2 linked regions of the Schizosaccharomyces pombe genome follow. The gene in region 2 interacts genetically with the main gene of each other region. Each region holds a gene or a part of one and is shown on either strand. Other genes may lie near its edges.

Region 1 (10,722 bases), 1.4 Mb from region 2:
TATCATTCTTATATAACTAAAATCCTAGGACGAATTCGTTATATAATTTTACGGTATTGTAATTTATACGTTGGTCAATCGAGCATGTCAGCTACGCAGTTTGATATCTGTTTAATGATACATTGGACTGCGATGAGTTTTACTTGCGATCTACAATGTAGCGGTATGCGGTGTGTTAAGTAACAATGTATGTTTATTGTTATAAGAAGTCTGTTAGTATCGGTCACCGATATAGCTCATAACTGAATTGAGGAACGAGATTCAGTTGTAGCTCTATTTATAATCTTCCTAAAAAGTTGTTATCAACGGGTGTCTATGTATATAGACGGATAGTTACCCGTGATTATCAATAAACGGATCTTAGCTAGTATTCCAACATATGACATATAGTGATACGCAACGTAGTGTATCATAGCGTAATGTAGTATTGCTGACATACCGTAGTACTAAACACTCACTATTGCAATGTGTCATTATAATCATTACGATAACAAACCATCGTTCTGAATCACAATATTTTATTATGCTATTCATTATTTCGTAAACATTGAAATTTGTTTGTATTAAAGTAAACCATTAAACAAAAGGAAAAAATGATAATTAAGCTTGATTCATTAAGAATCAAGATGAAGGAGAAATGAATGCAATAAACGAAAATGAAATTGTGAATTTAACAAGGTGGAACAACGAGTTTTCCAATTTCATTAGTTAATTTAAAGTTGTCGTAAACAAGTTAAACCATTATTGTTTGTAGCGTAGAGTACCATTAAAAAAGACAAATAATTAGACTCGCATACATAATAAATAAAGACTCAGTCCTCAATGCACATTATCCAACATCGTAGAATGCATTGGTTGGCAATTTTTGGTAATTGAAAGAATGAGTTAAGCTTATATCTCACAAACTTATAAGGCAAGAGAATAATTAAAGTATGTTGGTGCTTATTTTTAAAAAACGCCGCAGCTTCTCTGCGTTGGTGATTTTGGTAAAGAGGTTTTCCAACTGGAGCGACAACCACATTAATAAAGCAATTAGACTTCGCTTTCAACATCCATTTCTCCCAAGGGAATGTCATTATTATCGTTGGCACCTCTAAACGCATTTCCTATCCGCCCAATTGCATTTCCTATCCCTCCAAATGCATTTCCTATCCCTCCAAATGCATTCCCTAAACCTCCTAGTCGGGTAAGTAAAAAATCATTCATACAGTTGGTTGAATACACATACCTAGGAAAGAAGCTATACCATTCCCGATAAATTTGGGCATCCTTTTGAGAGCACCTGGACGTTCTGGTATGGTTAGAGTAAATTACAGGAATATATAACGAACCCATTTCGTAAAAGAAAAGAAAATTTCCTATAACAAAGAGTGAAGAGGCTTCAATTTCGTAGCCTGTCGCGTCGATATGTTTATCAAATAAATACATCAAACCTTTCGTTACAATAACGACACAACTTTGTACACCCAGCACTTGAAACAAACCAAAAAGCATATGCTTGAGTGTCCAAATTGGAATACAAACTGTATGTTAGCGTTTAGCAAGATAATTTCACTTACCAAGCAATAAAATGAAAAATAAAGCAGCCGAAATACTGCATGTGGAACAGATGAGTGCCTTATTTAAGTTTAGTCTACCATCCTTGACGCAACCAAAGAGTATAAAACAAATGACTACCCATGCGAGCCAGATTGTAACCACCAAATCTTTTTTTGAGTTATACAAACCGACCGCAATTACCTTTACACATTTTGCCAAGAAAACTGCAGTCACCTTTACACATTTTGCCAAGAAAACTGCAGTCACCTTTACACATTGTGCCAAGGAAATTGCAGTCACCTTTACACATTGTGCCAAGAAAATTACAGTCACCTTTATACATTGTGCCACTGCCTGGGTCCAAGTTTCAAAGAAGCCTAATGAGTTAGTGAATGGACGTATTAACAACTTCATGCATAGCTTACAGAAAATAGCAATAAACACTATTGGACATGTTATACCAATTGTGACGGAGAAAGCTACCTTGCCGAATATCGACTTCTCCAACGGGTTTACACAAACCCATGCAGTAAAAAAGACAACAATAACTGCAAGAACTGATATTAGTAGTCTCAGAAGGGAATATATATTTGGATGTGAATCTTTGAATTCTTGTCTTCTTTCGACATTGGGATTTGCAATTTCTGTAGGTCCTGTACTTGAATCCTCAGATACAGTTTTAATATATTTCCAAATTTCTGAAAGCATTAATAAAATAAATAACTTTTGAAATTTGGTTTTTTTTTTTTTTTAAAATGATGTAGAAGGAAGAAAGTGTGTGCCCTGTTAGACGAATTTATGCTCGTAATATGTCAAGTTGTAAACAAACAAATACAACAAAAACATTGTAAATCAAAACAAACAGACACAGCAAATAATCCTTGACACACTCAATTCTTTATCTTATCCACCAACAACACAACACTTACCTGAATATGGAGGCAATGTGCTCCCATCTTCTGAATTGTATTCTGGGAGAGGACCTTTTTCCAAATCAATTTCATTATCGTTTTTTGTACTCAATTCATCCATAGACGACCTCAAGGGATAATCTTTATTCTTCATTTCTTAGAAACAATCTATTATTGAATGATATACACACAAATAGTTCAATTGCTGTGATTGCGACAAACGAAACAGCGAAATCAAGAATATTCGCTCTGTAGTCCAATTCCAATCGCTTTAAAGACTTTTTAACAAAATAATAAAATTGTTCAAACAAATTTCCAACTAATTCCTTCAAACAATGGCATAAAAAAAGAAGAACGAAAAAACTGAACGAGGCAGTGGATTGCTTCTGACACATTTATTCTGTCACTGCCTTTTTATTAAGTTAGCTTGAGATTCCTTCATGTTAGCTACGCAGTTTGGTATCTGATTTAAGGATACGTAGAACTGCGGTGAGTTTTCCTTGTGACCTATTATATTACATTACACAGGTTATATGAGTAGCAACTGAGTATAGGTATTGTATTAATTAGGTTATAATGTTACCTATCACTAATATAGCTCATAACTGAACTGAGGAACGAGGTTCAGCAGTAGCTCTATTTATATTATTCAGATAATATAGATCTTGATAGATTATCATTAAGATCAATCTCAATATCGTATCATACATGGTACTATATATACATGTGACATATAGTGATACGCAACGTAGTGTATTATAGCGTAGTGTAGTATTGCTGACACAATCCACATTATTTCGCAGCTCACTATTTGATAAACAATGAAAAGACGAAGCTAGAAGTAGGTAAGATTAGTATATGTTATGTTACGGAGCATAATTATAAACACGGATTCTAATACAATACAATGGAGATTCATGTACTTTACTTTGATCTTAATTTTTAAAATTTGTGACAATTCTAATGTTCTGACGCTAGATCATTAGAGGCACAAATTTTTGTCCGTAGCCTTACTAAACAGTATAGACACTGATGTTTGTTATTCAGAATTTATGAAGAAGCAACAGAAGTGGTGTTATATTCAAATGAATAGCATTAATTGGTAATTTGGAACGTTTCTTAATCAGTGAAATACACATTTTTTTTTACGAAGTATGAAAGTGAAAAATTTGTGCAAAGAAAATAAATGCAGACAAGTTCATTAATATTTGAACCAATGCATTGTAGTTTTAGAAATTGTTTGACTGCATTTTCTCATATGAATGTGTAAATAAGGAAATGATCGTTTTGCGATCCTCATATACATTCAACTCTTCATTTAATTCTATTCAACGAGATCAAAAAAAATTCTTGTATGCCTTCATCACATAGATTGAAGATTTTGACGCAAAGTTTCTACCGAAGCTGGATCAAAATCATCCTTTGCAACACTTGTACTAAGTGCAACATTACTTTCAAGCTCTTCCCCTATGTCTTGATGTTGCTTGCGGATTAATTCCAAGGAATCGTGGCCTAGGACAAGCTTTTGAGGCGGCCTGTCGAGTTTGGCAATGCTATATAACAACTCCGCAGCTTTGTTCGGGTCAGTTTCCTCGCAGCCATGATAGTTTTCCCAAAATGGTCGCCAAGACCTGTCATTTTCGTAGGCTGGATGAGGTTTTGCCCATTGCATATTAGAGGAAGCCCATTCTGTTTGCATGCCACCTGGCTGTACAATAGTTATCGCAATGTTCCAATTCGGATCTAACTCTCTCATAATTGTTTGCGAAAGCCCTTCGACAGCAAATTTGCTAGCATTATACATGCTTAAACACGGAGATGGGTAATAACCTGCGACTGACGAAATTTGTAAAATACGCCCTCCTTTACCGGATTCGCGCATGAGATTCAACGCTTCTTTGGTAATGTATGCAACTCCCCAAAAATTTACATTCATTTGACGATGCATTTCCTCAATGTTGTATGATTCAAATTCGCCAACAAGGCCATACCCTGCATTGTTGATCACTATGTCTACGTTTCCAAATCGCCTCTTTGCATCTTTGAAAGCGGTTTCAACAGACTTCACATCTGTAACATCTAATTTGAGCTTTAATAATTTTGAATGCTCGATGGTTATTGTGTCGGGAGCACGAGAACAAGCTATTACATTATAACCTTGGGCCAATCCAACTTTCACCAATGCATAGCCCAATCCTTTGGATGACCCAGTAATGAGTACAGTAGAAAACGTAGATTTCATTGTTTCTTATGATCGTGTTTCGTCTTTTGAGACACCACGATTGTACAATTAAACAATTTTTTTGCTTTCTCAACCAAGCCCGTTTTTACCCGATTACTGTTGTAGTAAGCCTTTTCAAATGGTATTCGAGTAGTTCACAATCGTCGCGTAACAGACAAACCCTGATTCTTTTGAGCTTCTTAACAATGAATTGCTTAACTTAACTCTCTAATCCACTTGCTGGATATTGCTTTTCCTAAGTCTTCATTTCTCGAAGTGAAAGTATGATGATGTTGTTGGTGTTCGGATGTCTGTAAACACTTTTCGTTTCTACTATCCGTAGCTCATCGTATAAAAGAATCCTATAAAGGGATATAGATAGGCTCAGTAATGTAGTGCTTGCGCTACGTCTCAAAACTCACCACCATACCGCTGTCTCAATGTCCTGAACAATTTGTGAATTAAGTTAGTTAACTCTTAAAGTTGTAAGAATACAATATGTTCTTCCGGATACTGTATACTCTTATTGAGGGCAATGGAGTCGGATTCCTATAGCCGGATCCTGGTTTTTTTACATGCAGTGAGATTAATGTATCGTTAGCATAGAAGACCGATTTGAAACAAGAAGTGTTAACTTTTTAACTTTACGAAATTTGCTGTTTGTCATTTCAAGGTTGCTTCTTTAGTTGATACTGGTATTGAAAATATTTAAAAAAAAATGCTGTGCGATTCGTCAGAATCAGTTTCGTTTTCATCCATATCTAAAGAAGAAGATACACCAATCGCTCGCCTTTTGAAAAACGCAAAAGAAACACCAGATCATCGGTTTATCTCCGTGTACAATGAACGTGGAATTGTTGCTAAATATACATATACAGAATTACTTCGTCGTGTTAACACAATTGCTAAATTTTGTGATGATTTAGGCTTGGGAAAGACAGTTGGAATACATATGGGACACGAGTTGGATTTTCTGTGTTCTATATTTGCTTTATGGGCTACTGGACGAACCTGCGTTATTTTTAACCAAATTTGGTCCCAGCAAGTTGTTCGTGTACTTGTTAAACGTTTGAATATTTCTGATTTGCTTTATCATGAATATAAGCCCAAGTTTGAGGTGGACACCTTAAATGCTACATCCTTGGCTTCGCTGCCGCTGGATATCGATGCTCCTTGTATTCGAGCTGGATTAGAGCCGGAAGTCGCTCTTATTAACCATTCTAGTGGGTCCACAGGAGTCCCTAAATCCATGCCATTTCTCATGAAGAAATATGCTTTGGGTTATGACTATGGAACTCCTGAATTTATGAATCATCTCTCCACTCCAATGGTAATGGCTACCAGCTTTGCTTTAACAACCTTGAGTTGGATTAATGCCTTGTATTGTAATGGGAACTTACTGTACCCATCCTCTTCGATATCGGCTACTTGCACTTCAGAGGCTGAACGGCTTGCTTGGAATGTTTACTATGCTCTTCGTGCTGGATGCGAACGTTTAATTATTTTACCCAATCTCCTTGTTCTAACTCTCCAAATAATGCCTGACAAGGAAGAATGCTTTCCTGCTTGTAAACTAGTAGCAGCAGGCGGTGAAATGGTCCCTGCAAACATGTATCATACATGCAAACGAGTATTACCAAATGCGACCATTTATCCACAGTATGGTACTACTGAGTCGGGATTGGTTTCATTTTTGGCTTACAATGGGAAAGACACACTGCATAACAAAGAGCTTGTCTATTTCCCTGGTAAAACCGTTAAAAAACTAATGTTAGTCACTGAGGATAACGAAGCTGTTCCTGAAAAAATTGGTTGCGAGGGCTTTGTTTGTGTTGTGACCGATGTACAATCGGAGCCTTATGTAGGCGATGATGCTGAAACTATTCAATCCCGTAATTCTACGTTTATAAATTATGATGGTCAACCAGCAGTGCGATTTGCTGACTTGGCGGTTTGGAATTCTTATAAAGGAAAATTGGGAATCACCATTAAAGGCCGGTTAGGAAGACGTGTCAAAAGAAATGGTGTATTCTTTGATTTGAAATATTTTGACCAAGTTGTTGTAGGATTGAAGGAGGTAAAAGACGCTTTTTCTTTCTTCATATTCAATCGCTTTGTATTGGTGTATGTTCCTGCATATAATGGTGTGGATCCTGTAACACTAAAGCAAAAATTGAACAAAGAGCTCCGAGATCACCACCTTTTCTCAAGTTGCTTTCCGCTTGCTGATATACCGCGTAACGCTGCAGGAAAAGTGGATTTGAAGTCTATCGAAACTTACGCATCTAAATGCCTTTCCGTAGAAGATCAGCGCTTACCTGTTTTATTAAACCCTGTGGCTATTGAAATCAGTAAAATTGCTTCAAAAATTCTCCAAAACCCAAGCTTGGAAGGAAAGGACGCACCTCTTTATTCCTGCGGTTTAGATTCCATTCATTCTGTGAGATTTTTTCATGCTATTCAATCCCACTTTCATCTTGAAGGCCCAATTCGCTACAATATGAATTCAAATTGTACCCCTAACTCGATAGCCTCTATAATTCAAAAGAAAAGTTACAACGTATCGTCAATCACCTATGAACTTTTAAATGAAGATGCATGCGCTTTATCACGTACCATTCCCAAGTTAAGTATTCTGCCTACCAATGGTCAATATTTCTTGTTAACTGGAGCAACGGGTTATTTTGGTCGTCGTTTTTTGGAATATCTAGTAAAGTTGAATATAAGTGTTGTATGTCTAGTTCGAGAGTCCTCTGATGAAGCTGCTAAAGAAAGGTTAATATCACTTGTTCCTAGTCTTCGAATTTCGAGTGAAAATATAATTGTATGGGCGGCTCATGTAGAGGAGATTAGATTTGGGTTGGATGATGCAAAATGGGAGTTTCTGGTGGAAAATGTTTCCCGAATCTATCACATGGCTGCGGAAGTTCACTGGATGAAGTCGTATCAAGAACTTAGACCAGCAAATGTTTTGGGGACTAAGACTGTTTTGGAACTGAGTGTGATGGGACCCAAGGCTCTTTACTTTATCTCTGGAGGTGGACAACAGGAAGTAGAGCTTGACGATGATACTCAATCTGCTAAAGCATCTGGATATGCACTATCCAAATACGTTGCTGAGCTCTTGTGTCGAAAGATTAGCGATTTAGGACATCCCTTAATATATGTTATTCGTCCAGGATTTATTATAGCAAACGATGGGGAAATTTTATCGAGAGATTTCTTTTGGCGTTTCGTCGCGACAGCTTTACGAATGGGTATTTGGCCACAAAGCGATGAATCACAATCTTTGGTATTCCACATTTCAACAACTGATGCATTGTGCATGACGCTGACTCAAATATTGGAGAAAGAAGCTGATGCGTATGCTCCACTTTTGGCTTATGATAAGTTTGACGGTGATGAGTTTGCTTGTATTTGTGAATCTATGAAAAACGTTAAGCTAGACTTTGTTACATTGGAGGATTGGTTGAAGGCACTTGAAAAAGATGTCGATGAAAAAGGTGAAGACCATCCTCTATTTGCTCTTCAGCATGCAACCAAGTTTGCTCTGAAAAGCAGCATGACACCAAGCAACGGGCTAAGGAATATTTATCCTTTGAGTGAAACCTTTCTAACTAAGGAAGCCATTGCAAACGGGCTGGAGAATCTATACATTGAATAGCTTAGTGTTAGCACTGATTTGTCCTTTGGAACAGAGGGGCCAAAGAGATGTACAAAAATTAAAGATTGGTTTAGATGTATCAGTAAATGGTTTCTAACTACTAATCTAAATCTAAGTGTATATTAATTATGCTGCAATTCTTTGTTGATTTATTTACAATATCAAGTAACAAGTAAAGAAGCAAGCTTCATGTTACCTGACCTACTGATCCTCACTACCTTTATAACGAGTGAGAAGTTTGAATGTATCACAGTTGTAAACCCACAAAAAAAATTTAAAAAAGCGTCTAGCAGCAGGATCAAATAAAAAAACATTTAATTGTATAATTTTAGAAGATTTAGCTTCTAAGGGAAATTGTTTATTTGTTCAATCTACTGTGAAGTTTGGGATAGTTGAAAAGTTTTGGAGAAGATAATCGGGGATTCCTTTTTGGTATAGTAGCAATGTCTTCGTCAAGAAGCGGTGAACACCGTCGAAATTATGCGCAAGGCCGAAATTACGAATCCAGTCGCTCACGCGGTGATCAACGAGACAGGGATTATCGTGAATATCGTCGAAATTATAGAGACGAGAGAAGTAGTAGACGTTACGAGGATTCACAACGTAGAGATTACAGTCCAGCTAGAAGACGCGATCGTTACGAAAGGCATCGAGAGTCTGTGCGAGAGGAAAGCCCTAGGCGTCCAGTAGAGCATGAACGAAACTGGCAACCGGAGCTGAAGCATGGCCGAGAAAGATTTCGAGAGCGAGACTATGAAGGTCGACGGGATCGGAAGGAACGAAGAGACGGTGTCTCACCCTTTTCTCCTGAAGGGGAGGGGTTGGAAAGGAAAAGAGAGCATGAAAAATTGCAAGCACCATCTCCAAAAGAAGAGGAAGAAAGGCCTGTTGATCAAGGCGACAAGATGGATGGAGTAAAGGAGGATAAGGATGGGTCTTTGGAAGTAGGAAAAAGCCACGATGCGATGACGAGGACAAAGAGCGCTGAGGAAGAAATTGTGGAACAAGAGGATGAAGCGACGGCAGAGATGAAACGTATTATGGGATTTTCGGGATTTGACACAACGACGGGGAAGAAGCATGGAGACGTGGGCCAGGTGTACAAGCAAAAGAAAACCAAGTATAGACAGTATATGAACCGACCCGGTGGATTTAATCGTCCATTGGATAATGAATAGAAAGTCAAGAAAGGAGGGAAGGTGTGTATGGATAGAACTCTTTAATGAATGATATGCAAGCAGAATCCGGAAAAAAGTAGTTGTAAAGGGAAAATGAAGAGAGGAGTAGTTTAGTTATAAAGAGAACATGAAAAGAGATGTAAAAATAAAAAAATGTTTAATTTAGTAAAGTCGACGAAAAAAGTTGAAATGTAAACGAGAGAAGAGTTGAATCAAAATGTTCGTCCTAAAGAAGTTGCGATTTTGGAATGGTGTATTGTTTACTTGGCATGAACTTTTGCCATGCATTTAACGCAATCCTGCGTGAATATCGCTAGATAAAAACCTTATATTAAGCGAGAGAGATAGAAGGACCCCGCGAATATTGGAAATTGTTTGCATGTGCGCAATCAAGCCGAATCCACTTTTCTTACAGTAAGAGAAGGAAGCGTGTGTAGAGTGTATAAACAAGAGAAATGAAATAAAAACTGTGCTAAAGGAAGCATTTGCAAAGATGTGGGACGGATGGGCCAGTTTATGCAAATTCGTTAAACAAAGCTTTGCTTTCTGCTATGGCAGTAACAATGGCGATATTAATGACTGTTGATTTTGATGCCTAATGGCTTGATGAAACACGACACATGATCATAAACCGTGTATGGTATTATTGTATATTGTATGGTATTGTGTATTGTATATCGTACTGTGTTCGAAGAGTATAAGGAAAAAATGGTAGAGAGGAACCAATTAATGTTTTACTGTAAAGTAGCCTGCATTACGTTATATTTGATAATGAGCTCGATAAATGGGCTTAATCTATTTTCTTGAAGGGGAGAATGGGACAGATGGATGGAAAGATTTGAAAATACATAGTGTTGGTTGAATTTGCATTGGGAGGCCGGCGGAGCATGCGAACCATTATAGAATAGGCAGTATGAAAATTTAGCAAGCGATAGCTCAAGTTTGCATGATCGAATGAGTTATCCAAAAAATAAACTGGAGTATTGTTGAATTCAGTTTTGAGCAACCGAATTCGCAGTACCTTCTTACAGTACCTCCTCACAGCCAAGTTTCTACCCTAGTAGAGAGTATCCAGTTTGTCGGTTTGTTGGTTGCGAAACCAGTATGGACGATGTTGGTTGTCAGATTAAGCAGTGCAAGTTTTGCAGCCCATGTTGGTAAGTGAAGAGAGACAAATAGGATGACAACGAGCGGCAGGGCGAGAGCGAG
Region 2 (10,864 bases):
CTGCTTCATACTGTTTTTCAGTGTTTTCTCTTGCTCTGTATGTATTATCATTCGACTATAAGCGATAGTCTATTTCTAAAAGTAACGTATGAGTTAATTAAGTCTTACTTAAGCGAGTTACGATGACGGCCACTTATCTGCGTCAGAATCTTACATATATTAGAGTCGGAGATACCTCCGATTTTAGGACCTATATCTTATGGCTTATAGGACCGGACCTGACCTACCAATTTGATAATACAGTCAATTCACTAAGTGCAAGTTAAATCTTATGACTTATTTCTAAACTCCAACTTTTTCTTACTATTTCCCATTTGTGGGACTCGACGAAATTGATCGCTTTTCTTTAATTTTCAATTTGGTTTCGTTGCACGTTGAGCATTTATCCGGTTTTTATTTAACGTTAGTATTGTAGATTTTTGAAATTACTAAGCTTTTAATCGTAACATATTACTTTTGCACCTCAAACGGTTTCTGTTTGTAGCAATGTCGTCTCCTTCAGAAAACCATCTTTTGGGCCCTAAAACTAGCTTTATCGATAACAGAACTAGCACCAGTAGACCCTTACACGAGATTCCTTCTTATCAATCTTTAGCTAGACGTTCTTCCACATGGAAGCGTGCTAACATTCCTCAACAAAAACCCAGTTTGGTTCGAAGAATCAATTATTATATCCCTGTCCTTCATTGGCTTCCCAACTATTCCTTAAGAAATATCATTTGGGATGTGTTAGCTGGCTGCTCGACTGCTTGTCTCTCTGTGCCTATTGCATTATCATTTGCACAAACGTTTCTAGGTGTCCCCCCAATATACATTTTAACAGGTACTGCAATTGGCCCCATATTATATTGTCTTTTTACAGCTTGCCCGCTGATATCCATCGGACCCGAGGCTGGTATGTGTCTGCTTATTGCTGAAAACATTCACCAACGCGTTTTGTCGAAAGCCGATGTTCCTCAAGAAACAGCAATTTTAGTAACTGGATTGATTGCCTTTATCGCAGGAATTATCAATTTAGCTGCCGGGCTGTTCCGCTTGGGATTTTTGGATGCACTTGTATCCCCAGTATTGTTACGTGGATGCATATTGTCAATATCTATGATTATTATGATCAATCAAGGATCTGTATTTTTTGGATTTTCTGGAGTCAAATATAAAGGTTCGGACTTTCCTATTGATAAACTTATGTTTTTAATAAGGAACATGTCGAAAGCTAACATATATACCACTATACTTTCATGTATTACAATATCGTTGCTCATAGGTTGTCGAAATCTTAAATCCAAGCTTTCCGCTAAATACCCTCGAATTGTCTCGATTCCTGACGCAGTTATCATACTATTGTTAGGTTCTTTTTTGAGCAAAAAGTTTGACTGGCATTCCAATTACGGTATTGCCATTTTAGGAGAAATTAAAACCACAATACTACTTCCTAAGCTTCCCCTACCTGAAAAAAATAAGCTTCACTTTATTACCCAAAGTTTACAAACTGGAGTAATGTGTTCATTCCTTGCTTTCATAGATACGGTTATTGCAGTGAAAGCTATTTCGTTGCAGACAAATAATCTAATACGCTCCAATCGTGAGCTGATATCTTTAGGGGCTGCGAATATAGGAAGCAGTTTATTTTGTGGGCTTCCTATTTGCGGTGGGTACCTACGTACTAAATGTAACATAATGTCTGGTGCTCGAACACAGGTAGCTACTATTGCTTGTAGTGTACTTATTTTGTTAGCAACATTCTTTATCATGCCTGTGTTCTCCACTGTACCTACTTGCATGCTTGCTTCCATGGTGGTTTCCTTGGGTGTATCATTGTTCGCCGACGCTGCCGTGGAAATTTTCAAGTTAGCCCGCATAAGAGTGTGGTGGGAATTGGGAATTATATTTTCTATCGCAACATGCACTATGATGTTTGGATTGGAAACTGGAATTATCTTTGGATTGTCCATAACAGTGATGCAAATTATAAGACACTCCACCCGTTCTCGCATCATGTTTAGATCTCCTACTTCAAACGGTACAGCAGAATTTATCCTTGAAGATGCAGCTTCCACTTTATCCCATCGAACTAATCCTTCTTCGACTGCTGTCGAGAGTGCCCCCCGCATCTTAGTCGTTCGCATTCCTGAACCGCTTTTTTTTGCAAACGTCAGTCAGCTTGAAGATCGACTAAATCGTTTAGAAAAGTACGGACATCCAAGAATGCATCCTGGAGAAACTCCTTATCGTCGTATTGAAGACATTGAAGTCGTTGTTTTTGACATGGTAGGTGTCTCTTCCATAGATTCAAGTGCTCTTTTTGCCTTTCAGCGTATCCTTAAAGAGTATGTCGAGCACCAAGTTGAGGTTCATTTGGTATCTTTAGACCCGCAAGTTCTTCATATTTTTGAAAAACATGGTCTTTTGGATCTCATCGGTGGTTACGATCACGTCCAGGATAGTATTAAAAAAGTGGATGCTCTTTGCGATATCGAACTTGGAGTGTAAAAACTTTTGGAGTAGCTCTTTTATGTCTATTTTATGGATTATCCCCAATTACGCGTTAAAAACGCTAAACGGTCTTTAAATTGTCCCTTCCTATTCTTGCAATGTTGAGACTATTTTTGTTGCCTCTCAAATCAATGGCAAAATGCTTATACTTTGCTTTCTATTTATTTCCCATAGAACTATATATCTATGTATATATATTTTGAATAAAAATTAGAAATTTTTATAAATTGGCTTTTGTAAGTCAAGATAGAGTGTATAAACCTCTATTCGTTTTCATCTAAGCTATACTAACATCCTAAAAACTCATGTTTTCATTCAGCCTTTTTCATGTACAGTGATCATTTAATGAGTTGAACCGTGCCTCACTATTCATCACAAGTGATTCGTTAGGGCTCGAGAAATTAGTTTATTGAAGTGTAACGATTCCGCAAGTTCCTTTCTATTATCTAAAGAGAAATCGGCATTTGGTTGCTGTCGTGTGCCACGATGGTTCTCATTTCAAATACATTGCATTGCGCGGATGCTTATTCTAGTGCCGACTCAAAGCATGTTCCACTAACTCTCTCAACCAGAAGGATAAACCTACAGTCGTTCCAATCCATTTCTGCTCGTAACTGTGGATCCGATGCGCGTGTTTTAGATTTTGTTAAAAGTATTGACAATGACAATTCATGGAAAAGAAGGAACCTTGATTCCAAGAGAAACATCGGTTCGAGGAAAAAGAATCGTTTCCTTAATGGTATGTTTTGGGTCGCTGTTCGCATTTTTGAAACTATTTACTAATATCGACTCTCAGACTTGCATATATTAAAGCAAGCAGCGGATGATCCTGATGAGGTCGTTTATAAGGATTTATTTACCCACAGACCAGCTTTTGGTTTTTTAACCGTTGGAGATGAGTTTTACAAGGATGGAGTAAATAATATATCTTCATTGCTAACATCATCATCGAACCAGAGGTTTAACGACAATCACCATAAATCCATTGTTAAAAGGATTAGACATGAAATCAAATGTTACAACTCTCTGCAACTAGTGTTGTTGTTGGACGAGTGCTTGAATAATATTATGAACGAAAAGCTTTATGCTTATGACCACGACCATTCACCAGCGATATATGCTTCGGAAAGCTTTAATATTAAAGCAGAAATTGATACGTCTTCTTTTTTGGAAACGCAGAGAAGCTATCGAATTTATATGTTAATTGATTGTCCTAGCAATCCGAAAGCAACAGCCTTCGCTCGATATTGGATGCATTTGATTTGCTCATATTATGGTATTTACACTACTTCTACACAAATCTTATCAAACAAAATAATGACCCTCGGTGTTTCTAAAAAACGGAAGCATTTGTCATTCAAAACTCTTTCCGAACTTTTAAACCATGACGAACTAACAAACATAAATCGTTAATTCGACTTTAAATGGAAGACGTCGTTAAATTTTATTGCGTTATAAATTTTATTCTACATTTTGCAACCAAAGTGTGAGATCAAGTTTTTTCCAATCTAGCTTAGTGAAGGCTGACAGCATGTTACTTTGAATTTCAATAATTGCTTACCAAATTCAACCAAATTTTTTATTAATTATGCTAGTTATTATTATTTTTTTATTTTTTTTCTCAATAATTGTGGAATTTTTCACAAAGGATAAAATAATTCTGTCATGCAACTGATTCTGAATGTTAAAACTAAAAATCAAACGTTTTGACTTTGTATAGAAATAGAGTCATTTTCTTTACATAGCCTTAGCGTGCTCTTTTCAATAGTGTTGACTATTGAAGAAAAACTCACCGTTTCTATTTGCTAGGAAACTCAAAAATATCAAACAAATCGTTCACTTCCGACGAGTGAGTTTGGGTCCTGTTTAGTGTGGTGACACTGTTGGTTCCATTTGGTTTTGGAGTCATATTTTGAAAATGGTATTTTCGTTCAACAGCAGCGGATGCCTTTGCTGAGTAGCAGTCCGTGCTTTTCTTCGGAGGGCCGTGTTGTTGAAAAAGGGATGCTGTGGTTGAAAGGTTTTCGGTGGAGCGGACACCAAGTGGATTTTTGGAATAGCTTAAGCGAATGCCACCTTTAATTTTATCGTCTAATGCAGCACCTTGCATTTTTTCCATTGCTTTCGCAGCATGGCAAACTTCCTCAAATTCTACAAAACACATAGGACTGTTTCCCTTAATTTTGAAACATAGTCTCCGATACCCCTTCTCTTTTGAAAAAGCCAACCTAAGCTTTTTCTCTTGGTCTGGGTTGGACAAATTTCCCACATAAATTGTGTTACAGGGTGAGTTATGATCAGTTTGCACATTGGACTCTACTTGTTCCAATAGCACTTTATTATCAAATTCTTCTTCCTGAAGGCATTTTAATTCACAAACACGGACATATTCGGCGCTCCTTAAAGGGCGTTGTTTTAATGACGGGCGTGAACGGACTACTTTAAGGTCTGGCATAGGCTTCCACTTGGGCGGCGGCCTAAGTTCACTTTCATATGGGGCAACACCATTCAGTGGAATTGTACGTGGTCTTATAGCAGGTAGCTCTTTAACAGGGCTCGTACGTTCTAATCGCAATGCCTCTTCAAAAGGATTTGATTTATCGATAGCTTGTTTTGAAATAAAAGAGTTGTCTTTATGATAACTTGGTCTTGAAGGTAAAGAAAACTTTGCTTTGGGCGAAATTGCATTTGGATGATTAGGTTGGTAATCGAACGACGTTTGTGCAAAGTTATTCGGCTGATTTGATAAAGAATTAGATTCACCAATATTAGCAATATTGTTTGGCAACTGTGAATATTTGGCTGTGGGGTTTGTTAATTCATTGCTTGTAAATTGAAGCCCTTTGCTATTTTTCTGCGTTTGGAAAGAATATACGGCTTGCTCTTTAGAAGATGGCTGTAATAGCCTATTATTCCAGTTTGAAGGTGAAGGGTTTCCCATTGATGCTCGTGATTGATTAAGATATTCAGCTTTAGGAGCCTTTATTGGGTTGAACGATTTAAAAGCTTCCAATACCGCTGGATACGAGGTGGACATTCGTGATTCTGAAGTAACGTCCTTATTGATGACAGAATCAAAATTTGCTGGTGAAAACCGAGGAAACCCAGGCGTTGTTGAGTCATAGTTATTTGACAGGCGTTGGGAATATAAACTTGGGGTAGTCAATGGTGGAATGCCCTTGTGATATTCATTTTCTTGTTGCCTTACAACATCCCTTTGAATAATGGTGAAATTGTTTGTAGAAGACGCGTTTAACATGTTTTTTGCCTTTAATGCAGCTATTGCGTTCCGAAAGTATACAATAGCTTTTCGGTGCCCATTTTCACTTTCGATTTTTGAAAAATCATATCCTTCGCAGAATGTGAAAATTCCACTCAGCTCTCTATCATCAAAATCGTCCGGCAAGCCACCAACAATTTGAATGATAGAAGATTCTAAATCATCATTTGAAGCTTCACTAAGGGAGTTAGATCCAGAACTACTTTTAGAATGTACTGATTTGTCGGTATCATCAAAGTAATGTTCCGGTACCAAGCTAGGTGTTCTAGCCCGAAGATTTGGATTCAATAGAACACTTTGATCCAACGAAGGGATGGCATTTAGCGTTGCAATTGAAGATCGACTATCTGAAAGAAATTGATTTTGGGGTGGAAAATTTGGAGAGCTGCCTGTGCCTTCGAAACTGTTAGAATTGTATGCGGAATTCCAGCAATTATTGCTAATTGAATTATTTGCAAAATTACCGGAGTTTGACTCCGCAGTGCCCTGTAAGTAAGAGTTGTTCCTTGAAGGCACGGGCAATTTACCAGGACTTGATCCTACTGGGTTAAGCAGAAAAGGAGTTGTCGACCTTGCAGGTTGCTGTGTTTGTGTATATAATAAATTAAGCGGATTTGTCGTTGAATTCCTGGACAGTGGGGGTTTATTAAATGCTCCTGAACCATGAAGCAAAGAGTTGGTCGATTGTTGTTCTGAAAGAGAACTATGGTTAGGTTGAGACAATCCGAAGGCGGCAAGTTTATTTGCCAGGTCATCAGATTTCCCTGCTAGAGGTTGTCCGTTTAAAGCATAAAGTTGACTCATTATTCAATTAGGGATAATTAATAAATGAACGTGGCGGTACTAGAAACAGAAAATGCAAAATAGAACCAAAAGTATTAAAGAAAACACCTGTTTTACAAATTGATTGGGAACACCTCGATTTGAATCGTCGCAGGCAGCAGTTTTATAAATAGATCCTCCAAGAAGTTAAGGAATCAACAGAATATTAAACAGTAAATTCTTTCGTTTGAAAGTTATTTATTGTTTGTAGATGAAAAATTAAAAAAAGTGGTTTTTTTTGATTGGATACTATAAAATATGTTTTTTTTTGTTTGTTTACCTCGATAAAAAAACAGAGAAAATATAACGTTCAAGGTAACAAGACTGAGGTATGCAGAAGTCAAAAAAGAGATAGACAAACAATGCTTGTTTAAAATGCTCAAATCGGTCAATAGGCCTAGTGAGAGAACGGAATTTGCTTATGTCGTCGATGTGAGGAGTCAACGAGAATTTGAATTTCAAAAAAAAAAAGGAATTGAAAATGAAGGCTGGATTAATAAAAGATTATCGAGATTGTCAAAAAAGTAATGCAAAAAAGAAAAAGGCAGTCAATGTGTGAACGAGGTAAAAAATACTTAACTCGTTACTTGAATAATCTGATGAAAACAAAAATGTCGGAATGCTTTAATCGGCAATCGGTATTTAATCAAATGTTAGGGAACTTGAGACTATGCTTTATTTAAAAAAATAAAATGGTCTGTTGCGGGTTCACAGAAGGATGTATACAGGTTAACTTTGCAAGGAAGGTACGGTGATTTAAAAAGTTACTCTTTTAAGCAATGAAAGAGCGATGTTATAACCAATTAACAAGAAGGTTTACTAAAAAACCTGAACTGAATGACTAGAAATGGATGGTGGTAGCAAGGAAAGAGAAAGAATAGAATGGTTCTAAAAGTGGAATTTAATGTCAAAAATTCCTCGTATATGGATTGGAAGGGAAAAGAGTCAATTATTTCCAGAAAATATCTTCTGTATTGCTTCGCAGTATAAGATACACGAAATTAGGCTTTTTAGGACAAAGGATTAGACACGAGAAGATTTCTGAATCAAAAGTTAATTTCAAGCGTATGCGATGCACTTTATATGTATACGTTTTTGGAAAGCGGGGATGGAGGCTATTCTCTTACTTTAAATATACTCGATGATTACAGATTATTGAGTAAAAGTAGTCCTATGGAGGTGTCGAAGCAATTGAGTCATATTTTAATCAACACTCTAGACGCAGCACTGCGATCAAGTGGTGTTTATAATACTATTATTATTCTCCTTACGAATTTGCTTTCAAAAATAGAAAGATAAAAATAATTTACTGTCAACTATGAAGGTAAACTTTACGCCTTAAAAGTAGTTGCTGTAACATGATTTATGTTTGCATCAACCTTAAAACCGCCTATTTGCTGTCTATCTTAAAAGAAGCATATTCTTGTCAAAAAATATGGACAAGCAGTTCTTTTAATAAGGAATGAACTGTTTAAATTCACTTCGCTTTGCATGCTTTGACTTTTGGTTCCGTTTATTGTAATGTTTACATATTCAAGTACGAACAGATGATCAGAACTTGTGACTAAATTGCTCTTGAATAGATCAATATTAGAGAAGAAAAGTCTCGTTTCTCCTCATTTGCCTCGTATGGAAATGAACTGGAAGGCTTGGCAATTTCTAATATCCCAATGGATCATCTGCATGCTTTTGACTGCTATGATAGATGAGTGATCTCAGGAATGGTGGTGACAATTTTATTACACAGAATGACATAACGCAATTTCGTTAAAACCCCTAGCAAGCTTAATGAGTTCGGAACGACGTAAAGTCTACATAAGAGCTTGATCGTTAAATTACAGTATGTTAGCTTGCAGTTACGCAGTTTGTTACAGATTTAAGGATGCGTTAATTTTGATGGCTTGTAAATACTTGAGCAATAAGTGTTATTGATATGTCTATAATAAATTGATATTATAAGCTGTATATGAGTTGCTTAAAAGACAAACTAAAGAGCCTAGATTTAACCAACTGAATCGGAGCTAATTTCTAAAAAGTTAAACAATCTTGGAGAAGCTTATGCTGTGGAAGGGAGGTACCAAAATCATAGTTCAGTCATACGCTTGATTATGTTCACGTACTGTATGTCTGATAACAAGTGGCTTAGTTATTTTCTATCTTTTCTAGAGAAACATTCACTTATCATATTGACATTTGCTTCTTTATTCTTGAATATTCGTAGCAGCAAACAGGAGGACCGGACATAATAAACTGTCTTAACATTTACCAAATCGTTAATACTCGTGATACATGCTTAGCTGTTTTAATTGTTTATACATGTGTTTACAAGTTTAGTATCTTGATTCGTTTTCTACGTTACCGGCTCATTTGGGATGAACCCCAAAATATCGATTCCCATTAATTTAAATATTTATGTCTTACACACTTCTACAAGAGGGATAGAATACTACATAAATCAAGCTAGTTTTCCCTAAGTTATTTATACAAAGTCTTTTTACGTATTCTAACAAACAGTATTTTTTTAGCGTCGAGATTCTTATATTTAATACTAGTCCATAACATTCATCCCATCTTCATTGAATTTCTCTTAGTGCTGTAATAAAAAAAAGCAACACATTTCTTCTCTCTTACTCGCTTTTTTATTTCATTTCATCTAGAAGCTGGAAGATTTCTCTCTTCACTAAAATTAGCACATGTTGGGTAAAATCGGCCCCCCTACAAAGAATAGCAAGCCAACTCAGGTATTAATTTCAAAAGTCGAGCTTTTACTATTAATTTACTACTGCATTTGGAAACGATGAATGTACAAGCATTTAGCTCTAAAAGCCTTCGCTTTCGCTTCAGCTTTGTTAATTTTTGCATGTTATACATTCGTTTAACTTTACTCATGGTTATATCTCACATTGTTACTTGGGCAGTCACGCCAGGTTACAGCACTGAAAGAGGTTTTCCATGCGATGTTGAACTCTCCTTCTCACTTTTTTATTGTTTTTTCAATTTTTTCTTTCTTGAAACAACATTCCATAAACAGTGACTTTACTGAAAAGTGATCTGTAGATAGGAATGGTTGACGGTTCGATACACGTGCCAGTGCAAAGTCACGAGGGCCAGCACGATAACTCCAGTAGTTTGAATGAAGAAATTCAAACTTCACAAGACCCGCTAGGTATTGTAGAGTCATACCAGGAAAGCAGTACTTCTGACTTCGATAAAAGTCATTACACTCATAATTCCTCAATTGCTGCCGCCGATTCTGAGTATGGTAGCGCATTCATTCAGGGGCAAAGCTCTAATGGTTCAGAAATCAAGAGTGAGAGACCCTCTATCGACAAAAAACTAGACGTAAATATTGATTCTCATCCCATTGAGCCACCACCGTTTGAACATGATATTGGCCTTCCTGCTTCTCAAGTACCAGCCGCCGAGGAAGAGGTGGAGTCAACTCCAAAGGCAAAACCCCTTTATTTTCTACTAGATAAAAGATTTTGGATTGTGTTTTTCCTTGGTCAGGTTCTCTCTCTGTGCATTACTGCGACCAACACATTCAATGGATACATGTCTGGCATCAGTAATATTCCTGCCTTTCAAACATTCTTGGTTTACGCTTTGCTAACTCTTGTGTACACACCATACACTGTTTTTCGTATGGGATTTAAAAAGTATTTTGAAATGATATTTCGTCACGGTTGGAAATATATCATCTTTGCCTTTTTTGACGTTGAAGGAAATTATTTCGTTGTACTAGCCTACCAATACACAAACATGCTTAGTGCAAGTTTACTCGATTCTTGGGCTACTGTGGCAGTTGTAATTCTTTCCTTTATCTTTTTAAAGGTTCGCTATCACTGGTCTCAAATTCTTGGTGTCGTGGCTTGCATTGGTGGTTTGGTTTTGCTGGTCGTTAGTGATGTGATTTCTCGTGGTGATTATTCTGCTGTCAACCCTGGTTTGGGTGATGGTTACATGATTATCGGCGCTACGTGTTATGGTGTGTCCAATACTTTGGAGGAATACTTTGCTTCCAAATTGCCGCTTTACGTAGTCATCGGTCAATTAAGTCTCTACGGTTCTATTATCAGCATTATTCAAACCTTTATTTTTGACCGTCACCATTTGTATACCCTGCATTGGACTAGTGAAATGGGTGGTTACTTAGCTGGTTTTATTCTCGTCATGTTCTTGCTTTATAGTTTGGCTCCTATTCTCTTTAGAATGTCTTCTGCGACTTTTTATAATATCTCTTTATTGACTTCCGATTTTTGGAGCTTG

What was found.
Region 1: mutations in mde7 (region 2) and wtf13 together harm fitness more than expected from each alone (negative genetic interaction), as found in Schizosaccharomyces pombe (one large-scale study listed by BioGRID).

Annotation. Positions count from the first base shown.
Region 1 is NC_003421.2:1,579,091-1,589,812, forward strand, and holds wtf13 (wtf meiotic drive antidote Wtf13), read right to left. Parts: upstream 2,839-10,722; 5' UTR 2,605-2,838; coding exon 2,469-2,604; intron 2,248-2,468; coding exon of another isoform or gene 2,238-2,247; coding exon 1,965-2,237; intron 1,917-1,964; coding exon 1,560-1,916; exon of another isoform or gene 1,524-1,559; coding exon 1,332-1,523; intron 1,292-1,331; coding exon 1,229-1,291; intron 1,179-1,228; coding exon 1,033-1,178; 3' UTR 501-1,032; downstream 1-500. Other genes in the region: SPOM_SPCC162.03 (dehydrogenase), read right to left, coding at 3,814-4,692; SPOM_SPCC162.02C (AMP-binding dehydrogenase), read left to right, coding at 5,390-8,335; snp27 (U4/U5/U6 small nuclear ribonucleoprotein complex subunit), read left to right, coding at 8,779-9,513.
Region 2 is NC_003421.2:151,619-162,482, reverse strand, and holds mde7 (RNA-binding protein Mde7), read right to left. Parts: upstream 6,578-10,864; coding exon 4,292-6,577; downstream 1-4,291. Other genes in the region: SPOM_SPCC320.05 (sulphate transporter), read left to right, coding at 487-2,490; SPOM_SPCC320.06 (uncharacterized protein), read left to right, coding at 2,980-3,232, 3,290-3,906; SPOM_SPCC320.08 (transporter), read left to right, coding at 9,659-10,864.